Mus musculus: one gene and its partners. The main gene of each other region encodes a partner of the protein of the gene in region 2 in a complex. Links are inferred from orthologs where the notes say so. Each region holds a gene or a part of one and is shown on either strand. Other genes may lie near its edges. The genes, in order: Jade2, Meaf6 and Kat6b.

The links.
Region 1: Meaf6 (region 2) and Jade2 share a complex: the UniProt entries of both Homo sapiens proteins name them as parts of the HBO1 complex. The link is inferred for Mus musculus from reciprocal best matches to the Homo sapiens genes MEAF6 and JADE2.
Region 3: Meaf6 (region 2) and Kat6b share a complex: the UniProt entries of both Homo sapiens proteins name them as parts of the MOZ/MORF complex. The link is inferred for Mus musculus from reciprocal best matches to the Homo sapiens genes MEAF6 and KAT6B.

Annotation. Positions count from the first base shown.
Region 1 is NC_000077.6:51,821,418-51,829,141, forward strand, and holds part of Jade2 (E3 ubiquitin-protein ligase Jade-2), read right to left. Parts: intron 7,017-7,724; coding exon 6,849-7,016; intron 5,259-6,848; coding exon 5,142-5,258; intron 3,991-5,141; coding exon 3,526-3,990; intron 1-3,525. UniProt on the Homo sapiens protein: Scaffold subunit of some HBO1 complexes, which have a histone H4 acetyltransferase activity. Acts as an E3 ubiquitin-protein ligase mediating the ubiquitination and subsequent proteasomal degradation of target protein histone demethylase KDM1A.
Region 2 is NC_000070.6:125,082,327-125,090,150, reverse strand, and holds the start of Meaf6 (chromatin modification-related protein MEAF6), read right to left. Parts: upstream 4,991-7,824; 5' UTR 4,975-4,990; coding exon 4,885-4,974; intron 4,007-4,884; coding exon 3,891-4,006; intron 277-3,890; coding exon 189-276; intron 50-188; coding exon 4-49; intron 1-3.
Region 3 is NC_000080.6:21,496,252-21,504,005, reverse strand, and holds the start of Kat6b (histone acetyltransferase KAT6B), read right to left. Parts: upstream 4,222-7,754; 5' UTR 4,046-4,221; intron 4,017-4,045; exon of another isoform or gene 3,858-4,016; intron 3,553-3,857; exon of another isoform or gene 2,928-3,552; intron 1-2,927. UniProt on the Homo sapiens protein: Histone acetyltransferase which may be involved in both positive and negative regulation of transcription. Required for RUNX2-dependent transcriptional activation. May be involved in cerebral cortex development.

The DNA of each region.
Region 1 (7,724 bases), on a different chromosome or scaffold from region 2:
CAAAGCAACTCTGCAGCAGATACAACCATCATGGCAAAACGCAGGCATGTCCCAAGGCACAGGTATCACTGTACTTTCAAATGAACACAATCTGGCAAAATAGCTTTTCCAAGTCTACCTGCTATCCCGGGACCTGAGCCAGGGCCTTGCCCCCTGGGCCAATGCTCCCATATCCACAGCAACATGATGCCTGACTTTATAAAGGACAGCAGCCCCTGACTCCCTTGGGCCAGCTGGTTAGAGTCCCTACAGTAGGCTTTGAAGTCATCTGGCTTAGCCCAGAGGACGGGCACACATTCTTCAGGTTGGCTGGCAGGATATGAAGTGGACCTGTCACTGCCTGTTCAGGGTTCCTCTATCCCCTAAGGACTGCTCTCTCACATACTTCCAGGCTTCAGCCCTGGAGACGCTCCCTCCATCTGGTATCACCTTTGGGCTCATGTGGAGTTTTCCAGAAACAGGGACAGTTACTGACCATAGCTGCTCAGCCTGGATCCTATTCCCACTCAGGCCTCCCTTTACACAGTTGCCAGGTGGTCTTCAGGTCTTACTTAGCTGCCTGAGTTACCTTTAATTAAGAGCTTCTCCTTCCAGCCAGGTGTGGTGGCGCACGCCTTTAATCCCAGCACTTGGCAGGCAGAGGCAGGCAGATTTCTGAGTTGAACCTCTGCCTCTCCTTCCTATGACTCCGGCCTTCCTAGCTCGAGGTAGTATGAGCAGATCTTTATCAGGTGTGACCTTCCTTTCCCTTCTGAGACTACTTGAGAAGGAGATCCTAGGAGGTCCAGTGCGGCGGACAGCATCACAGGAGGGATTCAATATGGACTCTGCCATGACATCCCGTGTGACATGTACTCTGCTGTGACATTCCATGCGTGTGTGTGTGTGTGTGTACTCCTCACCTGCACTGGCAACACCAGGCCGTCAGGGTTCACTCATTGCTGACTCCAGCTTTATCAATTCCCATGTCCAGCCTCTTCCTCCAGGGACAGCCCTGGGTTTGAACCACTGGTAGCAGCCTGTGCACCTCTTACCATGACCCACTTTCCAATCAACCTCTTCTTCACACCCCTCTCCTCCTGCACTTTAGCCTGGCTCTGTGCCTTCCTCCATTCTGGAATAAATTTGTATAGGGGCCAGCATCTCTTTCTTCCTATTGCCTGCCACCCAGCAAGGCAGGAAGAACTCCCTGGAGCAGATGGCCTAAACCGGGACACCCTAGCCCAGCAGGAGGTGGTGACAGTGTACTGGAAAAAGAAAGGAGAGGCAAAACCAGCAGGGGTGGGGGGGGGTGTAAGCAGGCCCTGGGGGTGCACCCTCCGGGCAAAGGGGAGTTGTAGAAGACTTATGGCTGAAAACTGGACTCATCCCCACTACCTGTTCTCTTGGTCCACACCCACAACTGACCTATCAGTACATTTGCACCAGTCTCTCCTTGTGGCAGATACCAGCTCTCTTCACAGCCTGGTTCCACCCTTCCCCATCCCCCATCCTTTCACAGGGACAGTAAAACAATCCCTCAGCAATGCTCTTGAAATGCAAATCAGACCACTTCCTGGCAAACTTACACCTTCCAGGGCCTCGATGGCCTCTACATGGGTGGAAATCCGCAAGATTTCCTGCTGGGAACCTCAGAATGGGACATAAGGTCTCAGAAGATAAAAGTAGCTAAGATGAAGTCATCTCGGGTTGGGGTGGGCCCATGCTTGATTATGACTGAATGAAGACAAAGACCTGGAGAATGGAGTGCTGACTGACTGGGTGGACAGAGTGACTGTGTCACCAGCCAAGTGCTGTTAAGGATTTTGGCCAGGGACCCCAAGGCAAACAGCGAGATCAGAAAAGGAAAGGGTCTGTTTCCCATGGTTCCTCTCCATCCTTGGAGGGACGCAGGGGTGAGGCTACCACATACTCATCTCCGATGACCGAGAGCTCCGGCCACCCTCTTGGGTCTCACACAAGGTCCATTCAGTCACTGAAATAAACTCTTCCAGCAAGAACCACAATCATGTCCTGCAGGGCCTAATAGTCAGCGGTTGCTAGGGGACATGAGCTGGCATCTGCAGGCTGATGTCCACTACTGCAATCTTTCTGTCAGCCGTGAATAACTCTGGACGCTGTGGTGGCCGTGCCCATCCACGCTGCCTGCCAAGGTCCAGGCCTGCGGCTGAAATTTGTAGGAGAGTGTATCTTTTGGGTTGGCCGTAAAATTGATTTTCTGCTGGTGGCAATTCTGCTCCTGACCCATCAGAGAAGATGCCCGTGCTGGAGCACCAGGCCTTGCAGCTCTGTGGAGCCCACTCTCAGAATATAAGGCTTCACCTCTCTTCTATGAGCTGAACTGCTTATGGGGCCAATAGTAATAAAAATACCAATCTGAAGTAAGGAAGGGGCGGGGCGGGCTCAGATCCTTATCATCCTAGTACTTGGGAGGAATGGGTGAGGCCAGCCTGGGCTACCAGGTGAGAAGGTAGCTTCAAACAACACAACTAACAGTGGAAGCCACTATCCTTGTGTGACTCCAAGAGATGGAGGCCACTGTCCTTGTATGACCCCCTAACGCTGACCCCAAGGTCAGTTGGATCCTTACTTCCAGTTCAAGGAAAAGGAAACAGAAAGTCACCCATTAGGGGAAAGGGCCCAGAATCAGTACAGGGCCAGACCACCCAAGGCCTCTAACTCCAGCCCTGCCCTGTCCCTTCAATGCAGGAGCAGGACCAAGCTGGCCTGGTGCCCAGGCAAAGGTGGACTACTCTCAGCTATTGGCCCTGGGCCATGGTTAGAGACTGGGCCTGCTGGCCAGGCCACTGCCACTATGGGGCCTTGCAGAGAACCCCTGCCCCACCCCCATAAGAGCACTTGGTCCTTTGCATTGTTAGTCAAAGTTACCAACATGTAGCCCCCAGAGGGACTGAGGCTGGACCCCTGGAGCTGGGTCTTATTGCTATCTTTGATAGCTTTCTTCTTCAGTCTTCTAGAAACCTCCTCCTTCCCCCAACACACACATGTCCATCTCCCTCAGCCCCAAATATACCACAAGCCACAATTCTGTCCTGCCTCCTAGAGTAAAGACGGAAGTGTGTGTGGCTCAGTCACCCAGGCCAGGCCTGGAATGCCTCTGTGGGGCAATGCCAAGTGTGTGACATCTGTCCCAATCCCTGTTCTCTGCCTGGCAGGCCATGGGAGTCTCTCCCAATCCCTGTTCTCTGCCTGGCAGGCCATGGGAGTCTCACTCACCACCCACCCCTGCCCTCCCAGTTCTGGCCAGCACAAACATGCCTGGCCAGAACAACCCTCCCCCCCCCCACCCCCGGCCACCAGGATTTCCTCTGTCTAAAGCTCCCAAGAGACTTCACAGAGTTCCAGGTAGGCTCTCCCACCTCTTTCTAGATGTTCAGATGGGTGGCACCTGTCCTTGGAGGGGTCTGTGGTAGCCCCCTGAGTCTTTGGAGCCTACCAAAGGCTCAAACTGGGCAGGGCACATGGAGTAAGAGGTAAGGCCCCTGACCCACCAGGGCTACTTACCCTCTCCAGGTCCTGCCGCAGGTGGGTGAAAAGCTTCAGGCGTCGATAGAGGACATCCTGTTCCTGTTGGGCCAGGTTGTCCACCTCGTCAGTCTTGGGCGTCAACAGCGGCTGGTTGGCATTAGCTCTCCGCTTCAACTTCCAGTACTGGTAGATGAAGTCCACCAGTGCCTCAGCCAGGTCTAGCCGTTCAGCCACCTCAGCTGGCTCCACTAGCTCATAGAAGTTTTCTTCCAGCTGCTGCAGCCGCTGCTTGCGTAAGGTCACCTTTTCCAGATCCTCAACGGCCTGGCTGGGCTCCACAGGCTCAGAAGTAGGCTCACTCCGAGGGCCCCCGTCACTGTGCTCCTGGCAAAGTGACTTGAACTTGACCTCGTCATTGTCAGCTAATATAGTCCGCATTTCCAGGCCTCGGTCAAAGGCGCACGTAACGTGGAATGCTGTGATGCAGGAAGGCATGGAACACTGGAGAGAGAGAGAGAGAGGAAGGGCAACGTCAGGCATTAAAGGAGAGCCAGGGGACAACATAAGGGCCATCTAAGGCACCGAGGAGCACACACAATGCTGGGGAGACACTACATAAAATGGCACAGGCTCCCACATCACACAGTGTTAAAGGAGCCATGGGACACCTGGGAAAGGTGACAGAGCAAATCCCAGACATACTGAAGGAGCCAAGAATCACAAGGAGATGACGCGCCCCTCGTGGGGACAAGATGCGTGTTGTCCGTGGACAAATGACTTTGGGATTAGAGGGGGTTTGGGTGGGGGAGCCTGAAGAGGGTCACAGTCTCCTCTACTGTATTGTCATCCAAGCCAGGAGTCTGCCTGGTGCTATTCTCTGAGAGCAGTTGGATCCTGCCTTCTCTTATCTAAGCAGCTAAAGGCTGGACCGACCATTCCTCCCAGCCCTAGATGTGGACTGGACCGCTGGAAACAGTTCATCAACAGTGTCCCCAACATCAGGTTCCATTGCTACAGCATCCAGAGCCCTTCTGGAGGTCGGATAAACGGGGTGGAGGCATACTAGCAAGGCCAACTGTGTTCTTGGGGAGATGGGAGGGACAAAGGAGGGCTTCCACCCCACAGCTGAGACCAGAAGCACCGGCAAACCCTGCTGTGTGAGAAAAGCAAGCACACAGCTCTCTTCACATCTCAATCAGAGCCATGGGTGCTAAAAGCTTCGTGTGGTTTGAATGGCTCGGGTGATCCCGACGATCAGCAAGATGGGAGCCGCCATCCCAGGTAGACCAGTAAGCCCCTGTATTGGTCAGGAAGGCCCATTTGCCGAGCTGGAGAGGAGTTCAGATTTCATTCCTCTCGAATGTCAGGGTTACAGTCTAAAAGGTCAATGAATCATTAAGCCCAGAGACACTTGCTCTCACGGGGAAAGCCAATTCTTAGTATTCCATGGGTGGGGTCTGTCCCCATTCCTTGGAAGCCTGGGGACATATGAATGTACCTTCCTAGTGGGTGAAGCTCCCACACGAACCTTGTCCTAAGCCTCTCAGGTCCATCAGTGATGCAGCCACAGGGGCTATATGGTGGTAACTACTGGTATTTTAGGTACCTTAGTGCATCTGTCTGGTACCAGCAGAAGGAAGCAGGCCACATACCTGGATGCAGGTACCTGTGCACTCCTTGCAGAGGCTGCAGGACAGGGCCCAGCGGCTGGCCGGAATATGCGAGATCTTGGTAATGGGCTCCATCTTCTCTGGACAGCCAATGCTGACCTGGGGAGAATACAGACAGCTGCCTCAGTCCCCAGGTGGGATCCTGTCAGTCATAGCCAGACAGTGAGCAGACAGAGCTGTGCATTCAACTCACAAGTCCCAAGTCCTCCTCGTCTCCACACATGCAGAGCTGATGGTCTGAGTCCCCGATCCTGCCCTAATCAAGTACCTGCTCACTTGGAACCTGCCCCAGAGTGGGCATATAGAAGAATGTAGCTGGCTAAGAGAAGCATGCACCTGGAACTGTAGACTTTGAGGCAAGGAGGTGCATGTGTACACGTGTGAGTTCTTGTATGCCACAGCGCAGGTGTGGAGGTGAGAGGACAACTTGCAGGGGTAAGTCCTCCCTTTCCACTATGTAGGTCCTGGGGATCGAACTCAGATTGTCAAGCTTAGCAGCAAGCACCTTTAACCTGCTGAGCCGCCTTGCTGGCCCCCAAGCGTACAGTCCTCAATAGGTCGATCTCCCTGCAGTAACCAGGAGAAAGGGCCTTCAAGATGAAAATCTGACACAAATAACCACTATTCCAGAAATGGCAAGGTAGGCCCTAGGAGGACAGAGAACTAGGAAGGGAAGAGTCACATGCTGGCAGGGTCTCCTAGGTTGCTTCTAGGCACGGACAGCACTGGGCAGGCACCTCAATATAGAAGAGCTGACCACAGCCTCAGTGAAGATGGCTACTGTGGACCCAGCCTGCTGTCCATGGCCCTTCCATATGACCCCAGCCACAGGCCACCTCTGCAGCCACAGGAGCAGGCCCATTAGCCAACGTCCTACTACTGTTACCTTCTAAACTAGGGGATCATCTGCCCTTTGCTTGATTTTGTGACAGAGTTATATAGCCCAGGCTAGCATCAAATTCAAGCTGATGATGGCCTTGAACTCCTGATCTTCTACTCCCATCTCTCAAGTGCTGGATTTACAGGCATACATCACCAAGGCTGGTTTCATTCTGATTTTAACCAAAACTTTGTTTGATGGAGTCCATAATCTGAGCCTCCACCCCAACCCCTTTGCATGACTAAGGTCTAGACCTCAAATTGTCCCTCCTGAATTTCCCAGTGCCTCAGAGTTGGGAACCAGACCTATGACAAGGTCCACAGACAATGTTCCCAGTTGTTCCTAGACCGGTTTGTGATGGTTTATATATGCTTAGCCCAGGAAGTGGTACTATTAGAAAGTGTGGCCCTGTAGGAGTAGGTGTGGCCCTGTAGGAGTAGGTGTGGCCTTGTAGACCATGGTCCTAGCTGCCTGGAAGGGAGTATTCCTATTCCGCTAGCAGCCTTCAGATGAAGATGTAGAACTCTCAGCTCCTCCTGCGCCATGCCTGCCTGGATGCTGCCATGTTCCTGCCTTGATGATAATGAACTGAACCTCTGAGCCTGTAAGTCAGCCCCAATGAAATGTTGTCCTTGTAAGAGTTGCCTTGGTCATGGTAAAACCCTAACTAAGACACTGTCTTTCTAAGTCTTCATGGGAACCCAAGAGCTCCTTCTTTTCCTATATTCTGTCACATAAATTCTGCCAGGCCCAACCTGAGCTCTCGACACACTCCCTCCACCATGTTTTACTCCCTGAAAGCTACACACCTCAGGAATCCACAGGGCACAGCTGACGTGTACCCACTTGGTCCCACTTCTAGTGGGCTTCAGGGCTCCTCCTCGCTTGGGGCAGAGCAGGCACTTAGGCTGGACTCCCAGGGCACAGGTCCGGCACAGCCAGCTGCCCGTAGGCACCTTGAGGATCCCGTAGCATGCCTGGGAACAGAGTGGGTGGTTATAGGTCAGGGGCACTGACAAATTGGATGTGTCTGCTCAGTGACTTGCCAATGGTGGCAATCTCTGTCCCTAGGCTATACACTGGGTGGCACAGAGATTCCCTGAGGGAGTACAATCCTATCCTTTGGGGAAGTCGGGGCTGCTCTTGGCTGGAAGACCTGAGTTAGCCAAACATTTCTAACCAGCATAGGCTTTAGGAAAAGCCTCAACTGCTTCTTTTTTTTTTAGATTTATTTATTTATTATATGTAAGTAAGTACACTGTAGCTGTCTTCAGACACTCCAGAAGAGGGGGTCAGATCTTGTTACAGATGGTTGTGAGCCACCATGTGGTTGCTGGGATTTGAACTCTGGACCTTCGGAAGAACAGTCAGGTGCTCTTACCCACTGAGCCATCTCACCAGCCCCTCAACTGCTTCTTAAATTGGATACAAACTTGGTTCTAAAGTTCCCAAGTCAAAAGTCCAGACTTTTATCTTTTTATGCAGAATTCTTTGTGCAAACAGTGGTGCCCCATCTCACCATCCCAGGGGTGTAGGAGAGACACAGGGACCCAGGAGCTGCTAGGTAGCTCAAGTCCCTGCTTCTCAGTTTCCCAGGATCTTTCTAGTTCAACGACAGTGGATACATGTGCCTCAAAGTTGGAGGCCAAAGGGAGCCCCCAATCCAAGTCAGGACTTCTGGAAAC
Region 2 (7,824 bases):
CACTCTTTTCGATGAGCTGGTCCTGAACCCCTGCCAAGGCACTTACTGCCTAAAAGAGAAGTCACTGGTTACCAGACAAGAGACCATAGACCCCAAGACACCAACCCACACAGAGAGGAAGGGAAAGTCCACTCTGCTCAATAAAGGGCCACAGCCAGCCACACCCACCCTCCGCCACCGCCACTTACAGCAGCCGACGTGACTGAGGATTTGCTGAAGAGCCGTTCGGCCTCCTTGAACTTCCGGTTCCTCCGGTCGTTTTTGCTATTGGAGTTCCTAAAAACAGAAGAACTTTGGTGTTGTTGTTGTTATAGATTTTTTTATCTTATAGATTATCACTGTGTTTGTGTCTGATGTGGAGGGAGGGCAAGTGTGTGCTATAGGACACTTGTGGAGTGAGTTCTCTCCTGCTACCTCCAGCAAATGAACTCGGGTGGTCCAGCTTCGCAGAAAGCACCTTTACCTGCTGAGCCATCTGGCCATTCTTCTTCTAACCACGTTCAAACTCAGGAATGCCTCTGATGCCCGGAACTTAATGTCAAATGCCTACAAACGGTGATGCCTCCCACTCTAGGAGGTGAGATGATTTTAGATGCTTTATAAGCACTGTCAAGTGTATTTCTTTGATTGTGTGTGGGAGCCCCAGGGACACAGCTATGTCTTGCCTGGCATGAGGACACCAAGCAGCACTATCACGTAAGCGGTAGCCTGGCCTGCCCAACCCAGTCCTGCTCCCCACTCTGTGTTAGTGTGCATTTACAATAATGCTTACTGTCAAAAGGGACTAGTGCAGGGGCTGACAAGAGGGTAATGAGTGCTTGCTGCAAAGCTGGACAATCCCAATTCAGCCCTCAGCCCAGGTAAAGGTGAAAGAAAGGACCAATCCACAAAGCTGTCCTCTGAGCCACATGGTGGCACACACATACCCCAATACACATTCTACAGACACGTATGATAAATGACTTTGTTGTTGTTGTTGTTTTGAGACAGGATCTCACTATGTAGTCTTGAGGCTGGCCTAGAATTATATATGCAGACCAGACCTTAAACTCATATAGAAGTATATGAGCCTCTATCTCCCGAGTGCCAGGATTGAAATGTGTGCCACTCTGACAAGCAAGAAATTTTTTCAATCAAAATATGACTATGAAAAAATAAAATAAAATGAGGGCTGGAGAGATGGCTCAGCAGTTAAAAGCACTGGCTGCTCTTGCAGAGGACCCAGGTTTGATTCTCAGCACCTACATGGAGGCTTACAATTGTCTGTAACTCCAGTCCCAAGGGATCAGATGTTATCCTCTGGCCTCCAAGGGCACTAGGCCACACGTGGTACACAGACATACACACAGGCACAATACCTATATACATAAAATAAATAAGTAAATTGTTTAAAGTGCGTACAGCTGTGTGGGGTGCTGCGTGCCTTTAATCCCAGCACAGAAGAGGCAGAGCAGAGCTCTGGTAGTCGGATTTGTCCACAGGCACCTGTACTCACTAAACTGTCTAGCCAATATGAAGAAATGAACCTGGGCTGGAGAGATGGCTCAGCGGTTAAGAGCAGCGACTGCTCTTGCGAAGGTCCCGAGTTCAAATCCCAGCAACCACACGGTGGCTCACAACCATCTGTAATGGAGTCTGATGCCCTCTTCTGGTGTGTCTGAAGACAGCTACAGTGTACTCACATACATAAAATAAATAATTCTTAAAAAAAAAGAAATGAACTTTTACAGCAGAGCTATCATAGGACCACCCAACAACGTGTCACCCAATAAGACAGAGGTACAGAACCAGAGGGTCACAAGCTGGGACTCAGACTGGGGGTTCAGCTCAGCAGCAGAGCACTTGCCCAGCATGCTCAGCGCCCTGCGCTGTAGCCCCTGCAGCAATGGACAAAGAACAGAGCCCTTAAAGCAGGAGCCTGCAGGCCACGAGGACATTCACCTACAGTCCCAGCACTCGGGAGGCAGAGCCATGTGGATCTCTGTGAGTCAGAAGCCAGCCTGGTCTACACAGAGAAACCCTGTCTCCAAACAAACAAACAAACAACAACAAAATATTAATGAGACATAACTGCCGAAAGCCACTGGATCCAGGATCAAAAAAAGAGTAGCAAAGCATTGTGGGGCCAACCAAGGGAATCTGAAGGAATCCGTGTTAATGTTTAAGCTATAAGCATCCGAGTTATATGCAGAGATGCCTTGCTCTTCTCAGGAAGTAACTGATAATATATTTAGAGGCAGAGATTCGTGGTGTAAGCGCCTAACTCTTCAATGGTTAGCAGGGAGAGAAAGCACGGGCAAACAGCAATGTAACCACAGAGGAGGAGCAGGGAGGAGACCCTGTGACGGCGGAATGGGTCTGCATCTTTATACACACACTAATCAGAGGGCAGCTTTCCACCAGTGGCCCTTGCTTTCTACCTTGTTGAGACAGAGGCAATCTGGTTATTTGGACAGCACTACATAGTTCAGGCTGTCCTGCAAACTTCCCAAGTGAGCGATTCTCCTGTCCCCAAATCCCACCACATATGCTAAAATTCCAGACGTGCATTTACACATGTGTGTTAAATGGCAGGGGTGGGGGTGGGGGTGGGGGATGGTCCAAAAGTTCAGTAGACAGAGTCTAATCCCCTGGGGCTCCGTTACAGGTAGCTGTAAGGCACCTAACAGTGATGCTGGGAGTCGAACTCCTGTCCTCTGCCAGAGCAGTGTGTGCTCTTAACTGCTGAGCCATCTCTCCTGTTGCCAGTTGTGCCTTTTAACACAGGTTCTGGGAACTGAGCTCCGGTCATCAGGCTTGTACACCAAGCGCCTTTACTCACCGAGCAATATCTCCTGGGCCTGGTTTCACATCCTGTAGTTATACACATACGTTAAAATGCCATACCCACCCCCACCCCCACCCCCACACAGCCAATCTTGATTTCCTGATTTTGATGATACTCTATAGTTACGTAAAACGTAACCATCAGAGAAAACTACGTAAGCACACACAAGCCATGTCTATTGTTTGTACAGCTTTCTATCGCCATCTGTAAATTATTTCCAAACAAAAGGTTCTTAAGCACACAGAGAAGTTTTCGTACTTCAGAGAGAGCATGCACCCACAGTGAGTTAGCAACTCATGAATACATGGGAAAAACACTAACTGGTCATGCACATTCTCATCTCAGTTTTCCTACAGATTTGAAAAATTCCTCACAAGCGTAGGCATTTTTATACAATCGCATGACTGAGCTGACAGTGGTAACAATGAACTTGGAGGTAGAACAAAGATCGTAATGGCACAGCGTGGCTGATGAAAATGTGGAAGACAGTTCGGTCACAGGCTGTACTTCACTTACACCCACACATCCCTGCACCATGGGCCCTATTTTCTTTCATCACAAATACTGGCTTCCCCAAGGTTTCTCCGTGAGCCGTCAGAGTACAAGTTCAAGCTTAGACCCCATTCCACACTACGGCTCTACCATCTCCTTGCAGAGTAAATGCCAAAAGCAAATGTCCCAAGCTGGACATGACAGTCCATACCTTTAAATCTATCAGTCAGAAGTCAGAGGGAGAAAGAGCTATGTGATCTGTGAATCCGAGGCCAGCCTGCTTTACTTAGTGAGTTCCAGGCTAACCAGGGCTACATAGTAAGACCATGTTTTAAATCAAAACAAAAATCCTGCAGCCAAATATTAGTAGAGGATAAAATGGAGAGATACTATTAGATTTTTTTTTCTTCCAGACAGGGTTTCTCTGTATAGCCCTGGCTGTCCTGGAACTTACTCTGTTGACCAGGCTGGCCTCGAACTCAGAAATCTACCTGCCTCTGCTTCCCAAGTGCTGGGATTAAAGGCGTGCACCACCAGTGCTCAGCTAATACTACTAGATTTTGACACTCACTTTTGATTGGTCAAATACCGATCCCAGCCACGGATAATATTGCCATACATCTGAGTGTCTTCCAGGTAGCTTCCTTCAAAAGCATATATCTGTCTCTCCAAGTTTGCAAGTGTTTCCTAGGTGATGAAAACAGGGACAGGGAAAAACAAGCATTAAGCAAACTGAAATTCCGTCACAGACTTGTAAAGTCAAGCTTACCCACAATGAACCATTTCTGTGGAAGTGTAGGGGTGATGGACCCCTTTATAAATAGAATGAAATGTATAGTCTATCCTCAGAAAATGCACACACATGCAAGATTTTGCATCTACTTCAGAGGCAAAACCTAGCTGTCACGAGCAGGGATGAGACAGACCGTGAGCTGTCTCCATTCTCACTCACTAAATGTGTTGCTACCAGCAGCGAGAAGGGTGAACAGCTTTTCAAAAGCATCTCTTCTACATCAACTGCTTCCTCCCTGCTAGCTCTGGAAGGGCCGCCCGCAGTGGATGCCGGTTGCTATGGAAACCTGGAAGGGCAGCTTCAGGTGAGCTTTGCCTCCCGGATGCTCGCCGTAAAAGGCGGGAGCCTACAGGGCAGTCAGCAGGGTGCCGGCGGCTCCTGGTGCGCGTCACCAATCCAAATTCCCTAGGCTGCGTCTTGGGTCTCCCGCCAGCCCCGTTCCTTGGCATCCTCAAATACACCACATTCCCCGGCCATTGAAACGCGCCGCCCATGGAATCCATCGTGCATCTTCTCCAGGCCGGGGTCTAGCCGCCTCCTTTCCAACCGCTAACCCGACCTGAGCGTCGTCCCCGCCTCCTGCCTCTCGCCCTTCCCGCGCCCTCACCGCCCCGCCCCGCCCCACTGAGCGCAGGCCGGGAACCGCGCCGCCGCAGGGAACCGCGCCGCGCCCGGCCGCCCAGAGCGCCCAGACCCTGGCTGCCCGCCGTCCTCGCCTCCGGAGCTGCCTGCGAGGCCAAGTGGGGACGGCGTCCAGGCCTCGGCCACTCACCGCCAGCTCCTGCTTCCGCTTAACCAGCTCGGCCAGCTCCCGCCGGGTGTCTGGGATCTGCGGCGGCGCCGTCTTGTTGTGCATCGCCATGTTGGGCTCAAGCGGCGGCGGAGGCGGCGGCGCGCGACCAGTAGGCGGACCCTGCGCACTGTCGCCGCTGGCCGCCAGGGGGCGCGACCCCCCACACCGCGCCTGCGCGCGCGGCTTCCGGGGAAGCTGGCCGGCTCAGCGCGCGAAAGCCGGCGCGGAGAGGCGCTTGTACGTGTGGGACCTTCCTTGCTGCTCCACTGTGGGCCTCTGAGCTTAACAGACACCCACAGACATTCACTACATCGAGAACCCAGCTGCAGCATAGGCCTGTTGAGTATTCCATATGTCTCCCGGCAGACGAGGTCCTTGCAACACCACCCAACTGCAGGTGGAAAACCTGAGCAAGGTTCCGCCCACCAACCGGGTTGCAGAGAAGATCCCCAAACCAACATCTTGCTGGGTTTAGCACAGGCAAGCAGATCTCCTGTTGTACGTGGTTTGCCGGAGGGGAAGGATTATGAAAGAATTAGCTTCTATCTTCAGATCCAGAACTGTATCCAGGCTGGTATTGAACAGAAACAGACCGTGAGTTTATCGTCCTGCCTCTGCCTTCCCACTGCTGGGATTCCATGTGTTGAGCATGCCCGCTGTTAATAGGTGCTGGGGATGGATCTCAGGACAGACGAAGCAAGCACTCTACAGGTACACCCTGAGCCCACCTCTGCATTCTCAGTGCTCAGCAACGTCACTCGTAGTTTAGGTGGCGTTCTTTGCCCCCATGGGTGGATGTCCTTGGGTTTCTATGCCCTAGATGTATATTGTTCAACAGGTATGAGAAATTCTCAATTTTCTAAAACTCCTCTTGCCTAATTTTCTCTCTCACAAACCTCTTCACTAATCTCTTGTTCCTCTCCAGTAGTACATGCCTATAATTCTAGCACCCAAGAGGCCGCGGTAAAAGAAGCAGGAAGGTCAAGGTACTACATAGTATTTGGGCCAGTAAGACTATATAAGACAGTTTCACCACCACCCCCCAAAAAAGAAAGTCAAGGCTGTAGATGAAACTCAGTTGGTAAAATATCTGCCTAAGCCCAAGCTTGCACAAATCCCTGAATTTGAGTCTAGCATCTCTTCCTTTCCTGCCAGCCTGGCCCACAGAAGAACCTCCCAGGGCCAGGCATGGTGGCACATGTCTTTATTCCCAGCACTCAGGGGACTCGAAGACAGACAGGACAGCTGTTTTGAGGGGGAAAAAATCAAGATGAGCCTCAACTACACAGAGAATTTGAGGCTAGCCTAGGCTCAAAAAAATAACAATCAGACCTTGGAAATTTTCTTTTTATGTCTATGAGTGTTTTGCCTGCATGTATGTCTCTGTACCATATGCATGCAATTCCCAAGAAGACCAGAAGACATCAGATCCTCCTGGGACTGGAGGAATAGTTGTAAGCTGCCATGTGGGTGCTGGAGATTGAACCAGGGTCCTGGGGGAGAGCTCTGATCCATCCTCTCTCCAGCTTTTCCCCCTGCCCCGTTTTAATGACTGAGTCCCAATTTGAGATGCCCATATATTTATAGGTGTGAGATCATCCAATGGAAAGTGATCAACCTACCAGGGCCCACACCTTAAAGCTGACTCTTCCCCCACAGGAGTCACCCACTGTTGATAGCTTCTTAGCTAGGGATGGAGGCTTGGGCACCTCTCTCTCCTACATGCTGCCAAGATGACTGGCTTGATCTTAGGCCAGTCTTTTGTAAGCAGCTACAGCTGCTGGGCTCCTGAATACAGCAGCCCTGACCTGTCCATGTGGAGAAGGCACTGCTCACCTCATTCCTCCCCGACCTCTGGCTCTGGCCGTCTGAAATGGCCCCTAAGCCTTAGGGTGGTGGTCATGGTAAACATGTCGCCTTTGTGGCTCAGCATCCTTAGCTTTTTTTTTTTTTTTTTTTTTTTTTTTTTTTTTTTTTTTTTTAGACAGGGTTTCTCTGTGTAGCCCTGGCTGTCCTGGAACTCACTCTGTAGACCAGGCTGGCCTCGAACTCAGAAATCCACCTGCCTCTGCCTCCCAAGTGCTGGGATTAAAGGCGTGCACCACCATGCCCAGCCATCCTTAGCTTTTTAAATATATATATATATTTTTTCAGACTTTTTCTTTTCTGTTTTGTCTGCAAGTGTCTGTACCATGGTACCAGTGGAAGCCAGAGAGAGAGCTGGAGTCACAGTTGTCAGCCAGCATGTCGGGGCTAGGAATGCAACCTGTGTCTCCTGCCAGCGTAGCCATTGCTCCAGCCCCTCTTTAAACATAACATGGTGGAGAACGTGGATGGACTTTCAGATGTAGCGGCTTTGAATGTCAGGAATAAATTTCTTGGCCATCTTGTTTCTTTTTGTGCATTGCTGAATTCAGTGGACACCTCTCTATACGTGCTTCTCTTCCTTATTTTACTGGGTTTTAATTTGCCAATTCTAAATGTACTTTCTAACACTTACTTGTGTTCAGTGCTTAGCACGCCCGGGCACAGGTGTGAAAGACAGGCCGATTTGCAGGGGTCAGTTGGTTCCTTCTACCAGCTGGGTTCTGTCGATTACACTCCTCCGGCTTCATTCACAGTGAGTGCTTTACCTGCTAATCCATCGCACCTGACCTCCTTGGCAGTTTTCCTTATTTTAAATATTGATTAATTTTCATGTGTATGGGTGTTTTGCCTACATACATGTCTCTGCACATGCTTGCAGTGCCGCTAGAGGTCAAGAGAGGGTGTTGGATCCTCTGGAACTAAGTTAGAGGTTTTGAATTTTTTTTTTTTTTTTTAAGATTTGTTGATTTTATGTATGTATGTACACTGTCACTGTCTTCAGACACACCAGATGAGGGCATCGGATCCCATTACAGATGGTTGTGACCCACC
Region 3 (7,754 bases), on a different chromosome or scaffold from region 2:
CGTTCAAGAAATGTGTACACATGTGCATCACGATATGTATGTTGAGATGCTTCAAGCAAACCAAAAACAACTAAAATACTCAGCAACAACAGAAGAGACCATGAAAATTATGTCCCTCTGCCCTAAATCTTCTATCGAAAGTTTACTATTCTTACTACAACCCACCTTCCTACGTCTCCCCAAACCAACTGACTTTTCTAGATACAAATGTAGCTATTGCTCTGTATGTGGAAATCAAAGGCCAATTACTCACAAAACTAGCTTAGAAACTACAAGCCAGACACTTGGTTAAAACTTTTCTAACAGGGAAATGAAATGTCTAAGAAAGGTGCAGTGACAGGGCTCACATAAGTAAATGCACTTAGTGATAAATCTGAGTTTGATACCTTGGAACCCACGTGGTGAAGAAATCAGAACTCCAAAGTTGCACCAGTGCACATGTGTGTGGGCATTCATACAAGCACACACATGAACATATACACACACGAGCATATGCACGCACACACACTCAATAACTGTTAAAAAAGAAAAAAGTAATGTTATAATCATTTGTTAGAGCCCAGCGGTGGTGGCACACACCTTTAATCCCAGCATTGAGGAGGAAGAGGCAATCAATCTCTGTGAGTTGGTCAGACTGTTCAGGACTGTAAAGCTACTGAGAAAGAAGCCCTGTCTATAAATAAATAGATAAATAAGTGTCATATCTGCTTCACCCATCCTGTTTACTTTCTATTCACAGGTCTTACCTCTGATAGCGTCCACCTGTTTCCACAAGTAGTTCATTAGTCCTTAACACAACACAATCATCAGCATCCACCCAGAGGCCCAGGTACAGCCGAAAGGTCAAAGTTCAGCTGACCCTGTCACCTAAATTCTTCCTTTAAGTTAAAACTTTCCTTCCTCAGTTTTTCTTCGCTTACTTAAACACAGGGTTTTAACTACTACCTAGGCTGACCTCAAAAGCCAAAGATGACCAAGGATTACAGGCTCCTTACCCATTACTCCTTAAAAACAACAGCTCACATTCACTCTGCTACATGTATAATAAATTTCTAATAAGCAAGCAGTCAAGTGTATTTTAGAGTTGCATCAGGAAATGAAGGGTATACTAGTATGAGGAAGAATGTACTTTCTACAAACACCCACTTCGCTGGGGCTGGAGAGATAGAGGGCTTGGCGGGCACAGCATGGAAAGCAGGAGGTCCTGCGTTTGGATCTCCAGCACCCAGGTGAACGCTGAGCGTGGTTTAGACTGCCTGGAGTCCCAGCAAGAGCAGGTGAAGACAGGCAGCCTCCAGGAGCTCGACAGCAGACCGGCCAGCCTAGCAAAAATGGCCAACTACCACTTCGTAAGAGACTTTATGTCAAGGCAATATGGCAGGGAGAGATAGAGGAAGACATTCTATGTCGTGCCCTGGCCTCTGGATGTGCACACTTGTATGCATCAAATGCACAAAATGTGTTTGCATACATCTGCATGTATGTGTGTGCACAAGCACACACTACTGGAGTACAAAGAACTAACACAACTAAAGTCCCATGCGCTACTTCTACCTCTTGCCCATACAAATCTGTGCATACTCTTTCCCTTGAATTTCCTGGTATCTCCACCCCAAGTTCACTGGGTCTCTAGCTATTGCTGACAACTGTAATTCCTTATCACTGCTCCTTCATAACTTCCACTACTCTCACATGAACATTCTTTCTCCCAACTGCAATTGTTCAAACTCCTCCATGGTGCAGGTCACTAATTTGCCCTTCTTCTGCCTTTACCCTGCCAGGTCCCATTACTCCCTGCACTGTGCCCAAACCAAAGTCCTACCAAACTCAAAAATACCAAATGTTCTTGCCCAAGGTAGCAAGCATCCATGTCTCTTCCTAGGGACACTCTATGCTCTCCCTGTTCCTGCCACACCTTCAAGACTAGGCTTGAAGTTTACTCCAAACAACCCCAGCCATCAAAATTAAAGTCTCCATAACCTTTCTTGGCTCAATGAAGACTGGGGGCACAGTCCATCAAATTATAGCACCCAGACCTATTGCTCAGTGCTGCCCTCGTTCACAGCCACAGCCTTCCCCTAACTTTGAATCACCTGTCCTGATGAGATGTTCTAATATACTGCTGCAAATTACAAGCAGCCTCTCTCCATTCCCTGCTCATTAAAGTCTCTTCTGCTACCTTAGAAAATCTCCCAAACTTAACTAATCCATCCTTCCTTCTGTTTTCTTAATGTTTCATTTACCATGGGCCAGCAAACCACTATCCTATGCCAACATGAGGATTCAGCCTGATTCTTCCACCAAAGAAACTGTACCCGCCTCATGAACCCATCCCCAAGACGAACCAACACCAACTCAGCAATACTCTCTCATTTACCACACCCAAATTCATCCTTAGTGTGTCCCCAGTTAACGGCAATCTCGCCAGTCTGCAGCACTTCACCAGCCCTCACACAGTCCTAGGTACCCTTCCCACTTCCACCAAAATTTCGCCCCTCCCTACACCCCCTTCTACACCTGTTTCTACACCTCCCGTTTCCCATCTCATCTCCCGTTCTTTTAATCTTGCCCACGCCCTCGTCCGACCCCTCCATCCATCCTACCAGTTCACTCTTGCACAGAAATCCCCTCCCAGCCCAAGCCTTAGAATCCCTCTGCCCCGCCCCTCCCGACTTTGCCCCGCCCTTCCATTCCTGAGCCCCGCCCCTTGCCCCGTAGGCTCGGCCAGGGGCGGAGCTTATTCCTCCTCCCTCCTCTCCCCCGCCCCCTACCGTCACGCTCAGGGGCAGCCTGACCCCGAGCGGCCCCGCGGTGACCCTCGCGCAGGGGCCTGTGGGAGGGGCGTCGAGGGTCCCAGGCCACCCCCCCGTCGGTCCCCCGCCCGCCTAGTCTCCTCCCCCTGGGAACGCGCGGGGTGGGTGACAGACCTGGCCGCGCGCCACCACCACCGCGCCTGCCGGGGGCGCTGAATCTGCCTGAGAAAGAAGCTACGGCTGCCGCCTGGAGGAGGTGCCGTAGCGCCCGCCACCGCTGCCGCCGCCGCCAGGGGTAGGAGCTAAGCCGCCGCCATTTTGTGTCCCCCTGTTGTTGTCGTTGACATGAATCCGACATGACACTGATTACAGCCCAATGGAGTCTCATTAAACCCAAGACGCGGCCCCGCCCCGGCGCCGTTCCATTGGACGAGAGCACGAACACTTAGGGCCAACCGTTGGCCTACGGGTCTGTCCGTCACCCGCTCGCTAAACACTCTGCCCCCCATTGGGGCAAGTTCCTGCCGGTCATCTCGCCTCCACATAGACACACCTCTCGACCCATCATTTCCCCCCCCCCACCTCCGGCACCACCCCGAGGGAGGGTCGACTGCCAGTACCAATCAACAGACCGCGGGGCCCGCCTTTTCCGGGCACCTATTGGTCCAGCCCTTTTTCTCTCTCACAGACACCGCGCCACCTCTACTTCCACCTACCCGCCCCCTCTACCTCTAGAAATGGATTGGATCTAGGCGCAGGAGAGGCGCTTGGCCTTATTGGCTGTACACGACGCCAATCAGAAGCCTTTTTTCCTCTCCCCTCCCCCACTCAACCCCAAAGCCCCTAGCCCGCAGCTAAAGTTTGTGTGAGAGCTGATCGCTGGCGGCGGCCGCAGGATTTAGGGGTGGGCGCAGGCGGGCGCGCGCGGGCGGGCACGCGAAGTTAAAATTCGAGGTTCTCAGTCGCCTGCTCCCGCCGAGGAGCGCGCGGACGGGCGCGCCGCCCGGAGCGTTCCATCCAGCCCCCTCCTCCACCCTCTCTCCTGTCCTGTCCCGGGCGACTACTCGCCCGCCCCCTGGCTTGCACCCTACCCCCTTCACATACCCCCTACCCTGCCAGCCTCAGGCCGGGTGCAGGCGGAACGATCTCACTGCAGCCTCTTCGCCATCCCATACGGAGGGGGAGCAAGCCCCCTACCCACCGGGTGTGCACCCCCGGCTCCGCACTCGCCCGTGTCTGCAAGCACGTGCACTATTCGCCGCTGCCTCCGGCCACCCCGGTCCCCGGCTAACCTCGCCTCCAGCCCGGCCAATCGCTTGCTGCCCTTTGTTGCTGCAGACCGGGTCTCCCCGCTGCCTTCCTCAGCCTCCGCCTCGTCCTTTGCCAGCCGCCCGGGTCCGCAGCGCCGCGCTCCCCCCGCCCGGGACCCACCGCCGCCGCCTCCTTCTCCTCCTCCGCCTCCTCCTCCTCGGCTCCGGGCTGCAGCGCACAGAGCCCGAGGCAGCGCCGCCCAGCCCCGCTCCCCCCGCGCCGCCCGCTAGCCCGCCTGGCCCGGCCGGGGGCGCAGCCCGGACCCCGCCCGCCCCAGTCTCCGCCCCGGGGGTACCTGCCTCCGCCCCGGGGGGCTCCGCTCACCGCCCTCAGGGGAGGGCGGGGATGCCGGTGTCCGAAAGGATGGGGACGCCTGGGCTGTTTTGGGGTGGGGAGTGTGTCCGCCAGGTCTGGGACTGAGGTGCGGTCTTCTTAAACGCGCCCCCCCTCCCGCCGCCGTGGGCCCCAAACTTCGTCCTTCTCCCGGGTCTTGTACCCTCGGGCGACCGCGGCAGTTTTGGGGTGGGGGATGCCTCAGGAGCTGTCTCTACCCTGATCAGGAGGAAGAGGGAGCAGTGACATTCAGCGACTGCGGACAGGCATCCTCGGGTGGGAGTGGGGATGTCAGACGCAGGCTGGAGAGGGAAGCTGCCCCTCAGGATGCCCTCTCCCGGCCTGCGGGAGAGGCTGGCGAGCTCGGAGCTGCGTTCTGGGTGCTTCCTGGACTGTGCAGCTGGATAACATTGGGGTTGGGCGGGGGGCGACCGCTGGGGGGCCCTTCCCTCGTCTCCAACCAGCGCTGTAAGGAAAGCTGATGGCGAAGTTCGGTTTTCCAGGCTTCCCCTGGGCCCCCGGAGTTCCTGAGGCCCATACGAGGGAGGCTGGGGGATCCTCTGGCCGCCCAGGCAAGGCTACTCTAAAGGTGCCCACATGCCTTGCAGCGCCCTCCGGACTCTGGAGAAAACGTCCTGCTCTTCCCAGAGTTGGGTGGGATGCTGGTAAGAGATACTTGAGAGTATGAGAAAGGTAGACTTGAGAAAAGGCTCCTCCTAACAGAGTTTGAACAGTTTCTCTTCCCAGACCTTTGGGAAGAAGGGAAACAAACCTATGTCCCTGGGAAAGCCAAGTTTCCCCGTGTGGTGGCCGGGGTGAAAAACCACCTGTTGCCTGAAGTTCTGTCCTTGAATCAGGACGTTCTTGGGGCCCCTGATGAGGAGATGTAGGATGTCAAAGAGCAGGAATTTCAGTCTCCCTGCCCTGAATGACTCATTTTCATGCCACTGCCACTCCTGCAGCAGAGTTCAACTCCCCGTTAGAAACTACTGTTCAACTATGTAGGTACTTTGTTAGACCCAATAATCTCAGTTCTTATCTTAGCAGCAGCAGCAGCCCTGTCACATGCAGACAGAAATGCACAAAGGCTACTCTGGTGTGCGAGCTTCCTCTGCTTCTGAGCTTGGCAGCAAGGTGAGGAAGAAGCCAGGACAAAAGGCAGAGGTGAATGAAAGATTAAAAAAAAAAGAGGGGAGAGCAGATTAAAAAAAAAAAAAGAGGGGAGAGCAGAAGACTTGTAACACTACACTCAGAACTGTCACCAGTTCCATTATAAACCTCTTTTATAGGTGTTTTATTACTTGGTTGTTAGTTTTTAAAACACAAACCTCTTTAGGTTAAATCCGGACACTCTCAGACTCAGCCCAAGGAAACGAAACAAGGTAAACTCAGCCACTGATCGGCTTGGCAACTTTTGAATTACATTACTGATGAAGCAAATGCCGCCCCCAACCCCACCCTCGTTGGGTTTTCTAAGTCTCTTCCTGTCTGTTTCAGTTAGGATCTTCAATAACTTGCTCAAGGAGAGTTTTCACAAGCCATTAGTCCATAACTCAGTCCTGTTCATTTAGATTGTTTCCAAGAAGGGCATTTATAAGGTGTGCTTTTCCCCCCATAATACACATGCTAGGTAGGAATTTTCTCCAAGAAGTTACAAAGTAAATTTAAGGATACTGGCTGACTCATTAGCCCTTCTGTTTTGCTTTGTTGCATTTCTGATAGTCTGCCCAGATGCACTTTATTTTTTAAGTTACATTTTGGTCCCTTGGGGTGACATTTATTTTCTTGAGACAAGGTCTTGCTCTGTAGACCATTTGGCCTCAAACTCACAGCAGTCCTCCTACCCAGTCTCCCAATTGATAGAATTTCAGATAGTAAACCACCACGCCCAACCCTCAGACTGCATTTTATCTGGAGCAATAAAATAAACCATGTCTTAAAAACAAGGTTTAAAACTCTAGATCTCTATATTCGAACCAAGTATGTTAAAGATGCAACTAAAACCAGTAAGTCAAGTCTACGATGGCCAGCCTTCACTCATCCCTTTTGCCACTAAAAGGAAGGCCTGACACTTAGAGCTGTCACAGTGCTAAGGATGAAACCCAGGCCCTTGGGCTCACTGTGCACAAGAATTTCCAGAGCATCACAGTAATCAGACTCTTTAAAGAACTTGCTTAATGCTCATGGTTCAAGCCCCAGCCACCCTGAGAGCAAGGGAGACAGCAAAAAAATAGATTGACATTTGTCTAAATCTTTGTTGATGTAGAAAACTCGGAAAGCAGAAATATAGTGTAATGTCTTTTCCTAACAAAATTATCCAACGGGTGTGGCAAGAAAGGGGAACAGTTTTCCCACTGCTATTCCCCTGGAGGGTTACTTGTCCTTTGATAAATCTGCCTCTTCAGATAAGTAGGACTGAGAGGATAACAGAGACGCAGCCAGATAGATACTCACTGCTCCCTCTTAAACCTCTTTCTTATCTGTGGTATCTCAAGTCTCTGCTGAGTGAAATAGCTCAATTAAGTTAACCTAGGAATAGCGAGAATTGAAAACCAAGCATAGCACACATTCTGCACCATCATAAACCAGCATCTTATCTCACCTGTTCACCACCACCGGAAAACAGCTAGCCTCTGCCAGAACTATTGACAGCTATTTGTGCTGTTTAGTGCAGTCCACAGATCACTGGAATCGGAATGATCTGGGATGCTTCCCAGATAGCATCCTTGGCCCAACCCACCTTCTGATTCAGTAGCTCTGGAATGGGTTGCCAGATCTACAACTGTTAGCTCAAGACTTGTATTGAAATTCTCAGTTTTTTGAATTTGAGAACTGTTAGCCTAGGCTGAATTCTTCCCCCTCAACAGAAATAATTCCATGATTTTCTTAGCCAGAATTAGGACTGGAATGATTCCGAGGTGTGACCCATGTGTCCTTGAGCTTTAACAACAACAAAACAAAAAAAGGGCAGAGTAGGTGGGGAAGGAGCCAAAGGGAACTACAGGAGTTTTGATCTTTGGGGCTTGTTTACTTGCTCTAAGACAAGTCAGATAAGAAGAGGCCAGCCTGGTCTACAAAGTGAGTTCCATGACAGCCAGGGCTACACAGAGAAACCCTGTCTCAAAAAACAAAAAAAAAGTTCCAGGTACACTCACACTGATTTGGGGGAAAGTGGGTAAGGAAGCAGCAGACATAAAGACCTTGAACTTTCTTATCCAGGACCGAGGCTGTGAGGAATTCTATGTACCTTTAGTTATTAGGCCCTTAGAAAGCATTAGCTCAGGACTACAGAGAGTACTATCTGCTCTTTAGAGGACCCAAGTTCAGTCCCTAGCACACACATAGCAGCTTACAACT